Linked DNA regions of Arabidopsis thaliana. The protein of the gene in region 2 purifies or fractionates together with the protein of the main gene of each other region. This does not show direct contact. Each region holds a gene or a part of one and is shown on either strand. Other genes may lie near its edges. The genes, in order: UFD1 and PI4K GAMMA 7.

Evidence for each region.
Region 1: the proteins of PI4K GAMMA 7 (region 2) and UFD1 purify together in Arabidopsis thaliana (affinity purification with mass spectrometry, with the first as the bait; one study listed by BioGRID). This does not show direct contact.

The regions. Positions count from the first base shown.
Region 1 is NC_003071.7:9,105,611-9,110,774, reverse strand, and holds UFD1 (ubiquitin fusion degradation 1), read right to left. Parts: upstream 3,210-5,164; 5' UTR 2,935-3,209; coding exon 2,919-2,934; exon of another isoform or gene 2,697-2,918; coding exon 2,647-2,696; intron 2,538-2,646; coding exon 2,460-2,537; intron 2,294-2,459; coding exon 2,269-2,293; intron 2,184-2,268; coding exon 2,151-2,183; intron 2,060-2,150; coding exon 1,938-2,059; intron 1,845-1,937; coding exon 1,714-1,844; intron 1,525-1,713; coding exon 1,304-1,524; intron 1,210-1,303; coding exon 962-1,209; intron 862-961; coding exon 763-861; 3' UTR 514-762; downstream 1-513. Other genes in the region: SULA (NAD(P)-binding Rossmann-fold superfamily protein), read left to right, coding at 32-273; AT2G21260 (NAD(P)-linked oxidoreductase superfamily protein), read left to right, coding at 3,467-3,599, 3,890-3,984, 4,069-4,186, 4,337-4,469, 4,552-4,771, 4,852-5,082.
Region 2 is NC_003071.7:1,183,446-1,189,279, reverse strand, and holds PI4K GAMMA 7 (phosphoinositide 4-kinase gamma 7), read right to left. Parts: upstream 3,823-5,834; 5' UTR 3,481-3,822; intron 3,350-3,480; 5' UTR 3,082-3,349; coding exon 1,129-3,081; 3' UTR 599-1,128; downstream 1-598. Other genes in the region: REME1 (Pentatricopeptide repeat (PPR) superfamily protein), read right to left, coding at 5,828-5,834. UniProt on the Arabidopsis thaliana protein: The phosphorylation of phosphatidylinositol (PI) to PI4P is the first committed step in the generation of phosphatidylinositol 4,5-bisphosphate (PIP2), a precursor of the second messenger inositol 1,4,5-trisphosphate (InsP3).

The DNA.
Region 1 (5,164 bases), 7.9 Mb from region 2:
GCATAATGCTATTGGTGCTGGTTGTTGGCAGGAGTTATTAATGGGACTGCGCCGAATCCGGTTAGGCTTGGGGAAATGTGCCAGCAGCTAGGCAGTGTTCTTAGCCGACCATCGTGGCTACCAGTTCCTGACTTTGCACTCAAAGCTTTGCTCGGAGAAGGTGCCACTGTAGTTCTGGAGGGACAGAAGGTATTACCTGTAAGAGCCAAAGAGCTTGGTTTTGAATTCAAGTATAAATACGTGAAGGATGCACTCAGAGCCATTATGCAATAAGGTGACACACATAAGCATCTTTGTAAAATTGGTTTTGATCACAGAAAATCCCCAGAAAAACAAGATATTCTTTTCTTTTCGTCTCTATATCTTTCTTTTTGAGTAAAACTCGAGAAATGTATTTATGGTAAAAAGTGTTTTCGGTGTTATCTCAGAAACCAGAGATCACAGATGTGTTGAGGATATTATAACTCAGACATAGCATCTTTCTCATCTATGTTCTTTGGTCATTGGTTCATTGGTAAAGAGCTACAGAGCATGGCTTGCTATTCATGAACACATTATGTTAGTGAGGTGCTCAGAATCTTATATCCTACAGTAAGAATATAAAAGAGCAGAGAATTGTAGAAAGTTGCATTGAATCTGATAAAGAAAACAAGCCGCGTCAAGAGGAGCCAGAGATTTATTCACTTATTTGTTTTCCTTGTATTTTTAGTACACAACATGAGAGGTCATAAATAGACTGAGTAGACCCATTGTGTGAGTTGATCAACCCCTCAATGAATACTTCTTCCCAGAGAAAGCTTGAAACTTGGGCTCGTCTTTCTTCTCTTGTTCCTCTTTCTTTGTCTCTTTTGCAGCTCCAACCTGAAAAAAAAAATTAAGAGATGAACAATCATATGCATTTGTCTCTCAATTCCATTACAGTTTTTGTTTTGTCAATTATCAATAAACTCTGAATGCGTACTTTCGGAGCAGCTTCTTTTGGAGCACGGTTTCCGTTAGCCCCAAATACAAGCTTTCCCTGAGCTCGTGTAGCTTTCTCTGAGCTACTTGCTACAGATGACTGTCCATTACCATTAGCGACAACAGGTTGTTTGCCTTTTGAGCTAGAGGCTGGCGCTGGCTCATAGGCAAGAGGTCTCCCATCTAACCGTCTTCCAGATCCGGTGAAAGGGTTGAACTTTGGTTCAGGTTCATCCACAACCTCCTCAGCTGTGAAATTTGGAAAGAAAAGAACACATGAGAATCTAACAACTTGAAGCTGATAGTAAGTCCATCTGATGATTTCATGTCCATGGATAGATACCTTTTGCCGGACCCTTAGCTGCAGAAGGTGCTGTGGGACGTTCAGGCTCCTTGTAATCGAGGGGAGGTGCGAAATCAACCTCACAGTCTGTTTCTATGATGCTGATTGCGTTAGCAGGCTTTGTTTCAACTATATCTATGAAGTACTTCTTATTGTTGTATGGAACCATAATGCTATCCCCACTAGTTAGGCATGAATAATTTCTCAAAGCAGTCTCCAAGCTGCAACGTTCACTCAATTATCAGTAAAGAATATTGGGAACAAGATAAAAAGAGTGACATCAAACAACTACGAGCCAGAAAACGGGAAGAACTTAGATATAATAATACATTCTCTAAGCAATAAACAACATGATGTGGGAAAGTATATGAGGGCTCAAATACAAGAGGGTAGAAATAAGTCGGACTCACATGGCTTTCGGGTTGGATATATCCAGGAAGTCTGTTGTGTGGGGCTGTAGTTTAACGTAAGTTCCCTTTGGAAGAGTGACATTTCTAACTCTCACAATGTCTCCTTCTTGCAGCAGCAGATTCTGCATCATCTGGATTATATCAAAGAAGCAAACAATCAGTCTGGTAAGTCCACATGATCCAGAGTACTTCGATTCACAAACAAAGAGGAAACTGATTCTTACCCAATATGGCATGTAAATCATGCCTTCTTCTGCAATGAACTCAAGGACTCCACAGTGTGTAACACGTTCAATTCCAGCATTACGAAGCTCAAACAGCATCGGATAGTCAATATGCAAAGAGGCTGTAAAGTCCCCAATATTAGCGATTTGATATGTTTCTAAGTTAAACAAATATTAGACCAAATCCAAAAGAGAAAACCAGTAGGAGCATACCTAGACGATCAAGGGCTGATGGTGGCATTATAACTGAAATAGAATTAACACAAATTAAAACCTCAGGCTTGAACAATACAGATGGAAACAAACATTGGTGTCTAGATAGAAGACTTACTCTTGTCACCACTTTCAAGTTGTGGCTGCAGGGAAGAGAAAAGGAAATAGAAATTAGATACTAGATCTCAGCTTTCTTATAGAACTTACTTAGTAGAACATGACAACGACTAAGATTCTAACATTACAAAAGAGCACTCTCAGATTCACTTATCAGGGAATTAAACTAAAAGTAGAGAGATGAAATCAAACCTTGTCGATAAAAGATGCCGGATAACACCGGTAACTCTGCTCAAAGGTTGTTCCATGATAATGGTATCCATCGAAAAACTGCATCGAGTTTAAATTCCAAAGGTTTAGACAAACAAACCAAGGGTGCGAGATATAAAAGCTAGAGTGAAGACTAACGGTTAAAAAGGAAAGCTTTGAATACACTTACCATAGTTATTGGTGGTAGTAGACTAACAGAGTAAGTTAACAAATGGCAACCTACAGAAAAAGAAACCTCACACAAGTCAATTACAAGAGATCCAAATCATAAAAGAGAAAAAGAGGGCACTCTTTAATTTAAGGGTTTCAATAATCAATTGTGGCCAACAATTCCGACCGGAAGGAACATCAAAGTTAGTGACTTTAACAGATAACTAAACAAGCTATTATCAAAAACCTAAGACCTCAATTTCGAATCTCAGCAGAAGAATAGAAACCTACAAAATCGAAGAACCATCTACAACTTGCAAAATCCCACCTTTTGAAACAAACCCAAGTAAGATCCTTGGAAACCTATTCCTAAACAATTCACCGGAAATCCCCAGAACAGAAGATTCCGATCAAAAGTTGAGAGTGGGATCGATACAAACAATACCAAAGCTAAAAACTTTACAAAATTAAAAGCTCGTCTTGAGATTATCAGAGAAGAATAAGAACTCAGAAACCACCGATTGAGCTGCCCGACCAATAAAATTACCTTTAGGAAGTAATTGATTCCAGACACAACCCAAGTAAAGATGCAAACTTTGAGGACCTGTGATAACGTTGCTTGTATATATATATACCCATACGGTGCGTATTGATTCATGTCTTTGTAAAACAGTTTGGGCTTCACAAAAAACGGTACTAGCCCATTGGGCCTCGAATAGTGAGGAATCATGACCACTTTATATTGACGTGTGCGTTACCAACTTACCATACTGGGAAACTCTCAATTCTGAGCAGATATCTACCCAATCACGGATTGAGGAGAGAAGCAAGAAGAAGAAATGGAGATTACACTGAACAGTGGCTTCAAAATGCCGATCATCGGCTTAGGAGTTTGGAGAATGGAGAAAGAAGAGCTTCGAGACCTTATCATCGATGCCATCAAGATCGGTTATCGTCATCTCGACTGTGCTGGTATAACTTAACACTGCTTAAAACCTTTTCTTTCTGATCTTTGTTGCTTCGGGTTTGTCAGGATATGTGAATAAAATATTAGGTTTTGTTTTAATTTGTTGAAAGTTGGAATCTTACTTGGAAATTATGTCTTAAGATTTGGGTTTTTAAGTATTTGGAAATTTGGAATCGTAGAATGATCTTAAGTCTTTGCTGTATCACAGACAATTGTTTTTGTTTCTTTGCATGTGAGTGAGTTGCTTTGTTCTGTATCCTGATTTATGAGTATCTTTTGGGGTTACTTGGTTCAGCTAATTATAAGAACGAAGCTGAAGTTGGTGAGGCTCTTACAGAAGCATTCACGACAGGTCTTGTCAAGAGGGAGGATCTCTTCATTACGACTAAGGTCCAAACGGCTTTAAGTTAAACTACTACATACCTTTGATATCAGTTCATTTCAGATCGAATGCTCTCTGTCTTGGTTTTGCAGCTATGGAGTTCAGACCATGGCCATGTTATTGAGGCATGCAAAGACAGTCTCAAGAAACTTCAACTTGATTACCTCGACCTTTTCCTCGTTCATATACCCATAGCTACAAAACACACGGGTTAGGCTTCAGCCTTGTTCATGAATATTATCAGTTTCGAGTAGAGACCATTGCATTTCAGCCTTGTTACTGGCTGGAAAATTAAGTTTTCTCAAGTCTCTAGCAATTGGCACACAGAGTAATAAGCTGTAACATGTAAGCCTTGTGCAGGAATAGGAACAACCGATAGTGCTTTGGGGGATGATGGGGTATTGGACATAGATACAACAATCTCTCTGGAAACTACATGGCACGACATGGAAAAGCTTGTTTCTATGGGTTTAGTCCGCAGCATTGGAATCAGGTTCAACTTCTCTCACTATCATTACAAGTTCTCTTGTTTAGTCGCCAATATATGAATTATTTGACCATTAGGTTTTTTGCAGTAACTATGATGTCTTTCTAACGAGAGATTGCTTGGCTTACTCCAAGATCAAACCTGCTGTGAATCAGATCGAGACACATCCTTACTTCCAACGCGATTCTCTAGTCAAATTCTGCCAGAAACATGGTATCTGTGTCACTGCTCATACTCCTCTGGGAGGTGCCACAGCCAATGCCGAATGGTTTGGCACCGTGTCATGTCTGGATGACCCAGTTCTCAAAGTAAGCCCCATCCTCTAAACCTTAAAAGTTTGGACTGAAACAGTTAAATAATTAAACCTTTTGTCTGTCTGAATTCATAGGATGTGGCCGAGAAGTACAAACAGACAGTGGCACAGATTGTCCTGAGGTGGGGAATTCAGAGGAACACGGTGGTGATACCAAAGACATCGAAGCCTGAAAGATTGGAAGAGAATTTTCAGGTTTTCGACTTCCAACTATCGAAAGAGGACATGGAAGTGATCAAAAGCATGGAGAGGAATTACCGCACGCACCAAACAGCCAAGTTTTGGGGCATTGAGCTCTACGCTTGATCACACACACACTCTCTCTCTCTATCTATCTATATGAATAAATGAAGCTTAAGAATATAATATCAGATAACTTCAACTTTTT
Region 2 (5,834 bases):
AAGGTTGAATTTAGAACATTTCAAATATAATAGGTACGGAAACCAATCATATGAATTTTATTGTAAACAAAACATATACCACCATCGAAACAATCAAACGATACGATTATATTGTATGTAGTAACTGATTTCTTGTAAATTATTATATTGATCCATGGCTGATTTCAAATATGAAAAAAAAAAAAATTGACCGAAGAATTCAAAACTTCATATGTAAAATAGTGTTGTTGCCTCTTGGATAGTACACATTATTACATATAGAAGTACAAGTACTATTACACACGAAAAAAAAAATACATCAAAGGAATGTTACGTTAAATTGATGTTGTCTTGTCGAAAGGACGGATATAAAAATGATAACCCCTTACCCACAAATGGGGTCCCATTCAATATCATCGTTTTGTTGCGTCGAAATTTGGTATGATTCTTTGAACTTTTTTGACAACTTTGTACATAACCTGATGATATGATAAAATGGATAATGGAGAAAATGGGTCGTCGATGCCCATATCGCTTTCTTTGCAGCTGTCTTTGGGACCATCACGCTTACGCTTTACCACTTTCTCTTGTCTCTCTTTGTAACACCTATCAAACCTATGGGACAAGGCCAAGCCACTAGGACATTTAAACTATGAATGGTGAAAAATGCAGTGTGTGACGGTTAGGTGATACAACCGCAACATACATATCTAAACATCGGTGTGATACTTTTATGCGGATACTGAATCATACATCAAACGGTCCACTATATATGTCTGGGTTTCATTGTATGAACAATGAACGACCACACCAAAAAGTGAAAGAAGACTAATATTATTTATGGGACAAGGCCAAGCCACAAGGACATACCAAAGAAAAAAACAAGAGAAGGTGATAAAAGGGGCAAAAAAAAAACCAAACAAACAAACAAAGAAGATCACAAAGAGTAGTAAAAGAAATATTTACAAAACAGTTAAAAAAACAAACAAACAAAACCCCTTTTCTTCACCTCGTCGCTTGTCATAAGCCAAACCTTCCAAAAGTAACTACTAGTTTTTTACTACCATAGAACTGAAGAAGAAGTCTTCAGTTTTTTACTCCATACTGTCTCTTTTAACTTCTCGAGTTTTACTTTTTACTATACGACTCTCAAAACTGGCATGAAGTGCCAAGTCTCTGTCTCTTACTCAACGTTGCGGTTTTGCGTTTTGCGAAAGCCGGTCCAAGTAACTCTTGGAACCTCTCGAGGAAGAGAACCCACTCGTCTTCTTTCATGTCTGCTACTTTCACAAAGCTTGCACTCACTGGAAGCTGTTCGTTTGCGCTTTTGTGACCAGACGATGTGTTCTCGGATTTGCCTCTGGTTAAGGGTTTTGGGTTTTTACGTGTCGTGTCACTAAGATGTGTGTTCTTCATTGAAGTGGAAAGCTTTGAAAGAGATGGAGCCTTGTCATGAAAAGCAGCTGAACTAAAAAAACTGTCTTTCATAATGATCATAGGGACAGTATTTTCAGTTTTGTCCTCTTCTTCTTCTTCATCTTCTTCTTCTTCCTTGATGCTTTCTTCAAGCTTCCCGAGCGAAGAACGTCCATTTGAAAAAGGGTTTTTGGTGAAATAGTCATCGGTTAGTTGTATCTTAGAACTGTAGACTGACTCCAAATCATCACAGTCTAGATCAAACTGAAACTCTGCTTCTCCTACTACATCTGACCTTGGAGAGAAAACATCTCGTTCAGTGACTGATCTCTTGGCTTCAATACACACAACCTCCAGTTCACTTGGCTCCTCTTCTCCAGGACGAAATTCCCGAGTCATCATCTCGCCAATCTCGGCAAGACACAGACCATATGCAGAAGCTTCTTTAAGGAAAATAGTACAGAGAACAAGAACCCGAAGACACGCCTCTCTAATCATTGGAAGTTCCCTTCTAAGCATGTCACAGTCTTTCACTGGATCAAGACTTTGTATGTAGTCAACCTCTTCATCAGAGAATGGTAATGATGCCTGAGGCCAATGAATCCACTCAAAATAAGGATCCTCAAGTGTTTCTGGCAGGCAGAGGCCATGGTCTATTGGAATAAGCTCCACTTGACCAAACATACCAACTCCATCGAGCTTCTTCACCAAAAGATTCCCACCATGACGGTCTGTGTTGAAGATCCTTATGTCCAAAATACCAATGCGGTGCACAGAAGTTACAGGGAAGCTTGAAGTACCATGATCACTTGCATCGAAATCATGAGCCACAAACTTCTGGAAAGAAGCAATCTTACTAACCAGCTTCTTCTCCCGAGGCTTGTTCCCCTTCACCCCATCGTTGACATTGAATACAGAATGAGTTATCTTCACAAGAGCAGTTGGAGGGACATTAGCAAAGCGACCATAATCAAGAAGATAAGCAGCAACTTCTCTAAACCCCGTTTCCCCAACTCGCACCGAAGACTTCAATCCAGGTTGCCCAAGGGCTTTCCCAACAAAGCCTTTAGGGTTGTTAGGTGCAAACGGCTCTTCATCCGTCGGCTTGACAATGGCAACACTCTCACCCCTTTTGTTCCTAAAATAGTAAGCACCTCCAAGCCCGCTATGAACAGGAAGCGGTTCAACACCCATCTTCATCGCCTTAACAATGTCCTTAACCATATGTTTAACAATCGAAAAGCAATCCGAATGGCCTAGTATCTCAATAGGACCACTTCGATCTTTCTGTTGCAAATCCCTCCCAGTAGGCGAAAGACAAGGAGTAGACGAGCTTCGATGCATAAAGTTCCGTTTCAGCAGAAGCGGAGAATCGTTCCTCACAGCACTCAAATCATTCGTCAACACCATATCACCATAAGTCAAAGAACTCTCTTCAGTAGGGAAATTAAGAGCAATCTGAAGCCTCCTTTTAACAGTATGAACATTATCACTACGATCCAACTCCATCCCCAAAACACAACCAGTTTCAGTCTGCACGAAAACTCTCCTCCCCGATGATTGCCTCTGTAAATGCTGATGCTTATGATGCTGCTTCCCTTCCATCTTACTAGCTCCAGTAAGAGGAGTCTTGAAAACTGCCACTGCCATTTGTGTCTGAACAGGACTGTCTAAGTTCCTCGACATGAAACAGAAGAAGAAACCAAAAAAGGCTTCTTTTGGTGAACAGAAGAAGCAGTAGCCGAAGAAAGACCTTCTAGACCAGTGCCTAAATCTGAAACCAACACGAGCCGGATATAACAGATACCTAAACCGATCATGAAACGTAGAGAACCACACACACAAGCTTCTTCTATACACAGATAACAGTAGCCACTAATAATAAAAACTCGAGCTTTGTGAATGAATTTGATCCCAATTACTACATCAGGTAAGCCATGATGATTGAACAAATCTGCAAAAGAAAAAAACAGATCTTAAATCTCACTAATCCATCAAATTAAGATCTTGATCGATTCCAGAAATTGAAGAGAAACAAAACTAAGAACAAATCAATGAGCTTTATAGAAAAAGCGTGAAACTCACCGGAAAAGAAGCGAGATCTGAAAAATCAAAACTCAGAAGAAACAATCGTGGAGACGAATTTGGTTTCAATATAAAGACATCATCATCATCATCGTCGTCTTCAAAAGCACAGAAACGCACATGGAAGAGAGGAGAATCTTGAAGAAGAGGCAAGGAATCTGAAGGAGAAGAAGAGAATGAAAAAGAAGAAACTTTCAGTGAAGGAACCACTCTCTGATCCCTAGCCGCCTCTTTTGCTTGCTCTCTGTGTGTGTGTGTGTTGTGTTGTCTCCTTCGTTGATTCACCTCTCAAAGGAACGCTTTTTAACTCTGATCTGAGTCCTCTGGTTAAATCTCTTAACCATGGTTTATTTTCAGCGAACTTGTTTGTTATTGGATTAAATTCTAAAATCTATCCTTATGACACGTCATCGTATTATTTATTATTCCTATAGTTGTTTTTTAGATAACCCTGTTTAATTTTGTTTTCTTTCATTTATTAAACCGGCTAGATTATGATTTTGGTTAAGAATTTTGTAATCGAATCTACTATTTTTATATTTTGGGAAATAAAAAATCTATTTTGAAATGTTATTTTGTCTTCTTCTTTACTACAATTTAAATTATTTCCTCATTTCTTTCGTTATTATTTAATACCTTTGCAGTGGAAATTATAATTGCTCTATTTGCCATTTCATATTTTCTTTGGTTTGAAGTTTTTATTCATTTTATATTATTTTTATCAATAATAATATGAAACTGATAAATCTATGACAAGTGTGAAGCTTTAGTTCCATAGAAGTTTTCTTCAGTTTTTAGTACCTTTTTTTTGTCCACGATTTCGATTATTATATTATTTATTGAATTATGTATAGTTTAGAAAATAACTAAACATTACTTGGAATATAATTATTACACATAATTCAAGGTTACAAAATAATGTGAAATCTATTAATTTATAGTTCATGTTCCCTTAGATATTTTCTATATGAATCACTACGGCAAAGACGTGCGATCTCACCAATAAAGAGTTGAAAAAAATGAAAATATATACCCATTTTATCATAAAGAAAACATTAAAGTTTGTAACATTAAGCGTAAAAAAATAGCATAGTAAATAGAGGCATAAATTGACATATGTAGCGTAAAGTCTCGAAGTAAATAGAGGCATATATTGACAGGTAAAATAGTAAAAAAGAACATGCATCATCGTCCCCATCTTTGGAAGAGTCTAGAACAGGCAAAGAGAACCGTTCGATTATAGATTCTTATGGAATCTTGACCGTCCGATCTGGAAGTGGTACGTGGCAAAGGATGAGAATGCCGACTTGGTTTTAATAGGATGTAGCGATGACATGAAGCTACAAATTGGGCCTTAACAATTTAAAAGCCCATAATTAAAATGAAGTTAAAATTAGCTAGTGACAAGTTAATTAATTACAAATCATAGTTCATATTGTACAAATGATTAGAAATACATTCGACACAAGAAATACACCGACAAGGATATAATTATAAGATAAATTAGCTAAATTTATTTATGTTTACAAAAGATATGATTTTACATATGATTTTTTAAAAATATTTATAACCTTAGTAATACCTGACCAAAAATACTTTGAAATAAGTAAAAATAATAATTATCTAATATTTTTAAAATAATTAGATTAATTAAGATAAAAATATGTATTTTGGGTTAAAAATAAAATAAGAATATTGATAAATCATATCTTAACTTGTTTAAAAGATAACTGAAGAATTAACAATGAATATATATGTAATTATAAAAGTCATAAAAAATAATTTCAATATAATTATGAAGTCCATTAGGTATCGAATGAATAAAGCGACTACGATGGCACTTTTAAGTCCACATGAGTAATAGTGAATCATAATATATAATGAGATTAAACCACTTTGGACATAAAAGATCTTGTCTCCATAATGCACAATTCAGCTTTGAACACTTTTTGACTATTATACTGATTTTTATTTCAGAAAAATAAAGAGAGATTAAGCATAAATTATGATACATGATCCATATCCATGTGCAGCAAGTGTCTTCCCATTAACTCAACTGCTATACATTTATAGGAAACAATTAAATACATGTTATTCTGAAGAAACTCTTTTTTATCACAAATTACTAAATTAGTGAGTCTCCATACTCCAATGACCAATTTTATCATACATATTCAATTTTGCAAATGTTACAAAATCCTATCAGGAAAATTTGGCAAATCAATGAGCTTCTTCATAAGCAAAAATGATTCACTAATCAAAAAATTTGATGAAGAAAACTTGCAGAGAAACAATCTTCTAAACCATCTTATACTCTGTTTCATAGTAATCTAAAGTCATCTGATTGTTACCAG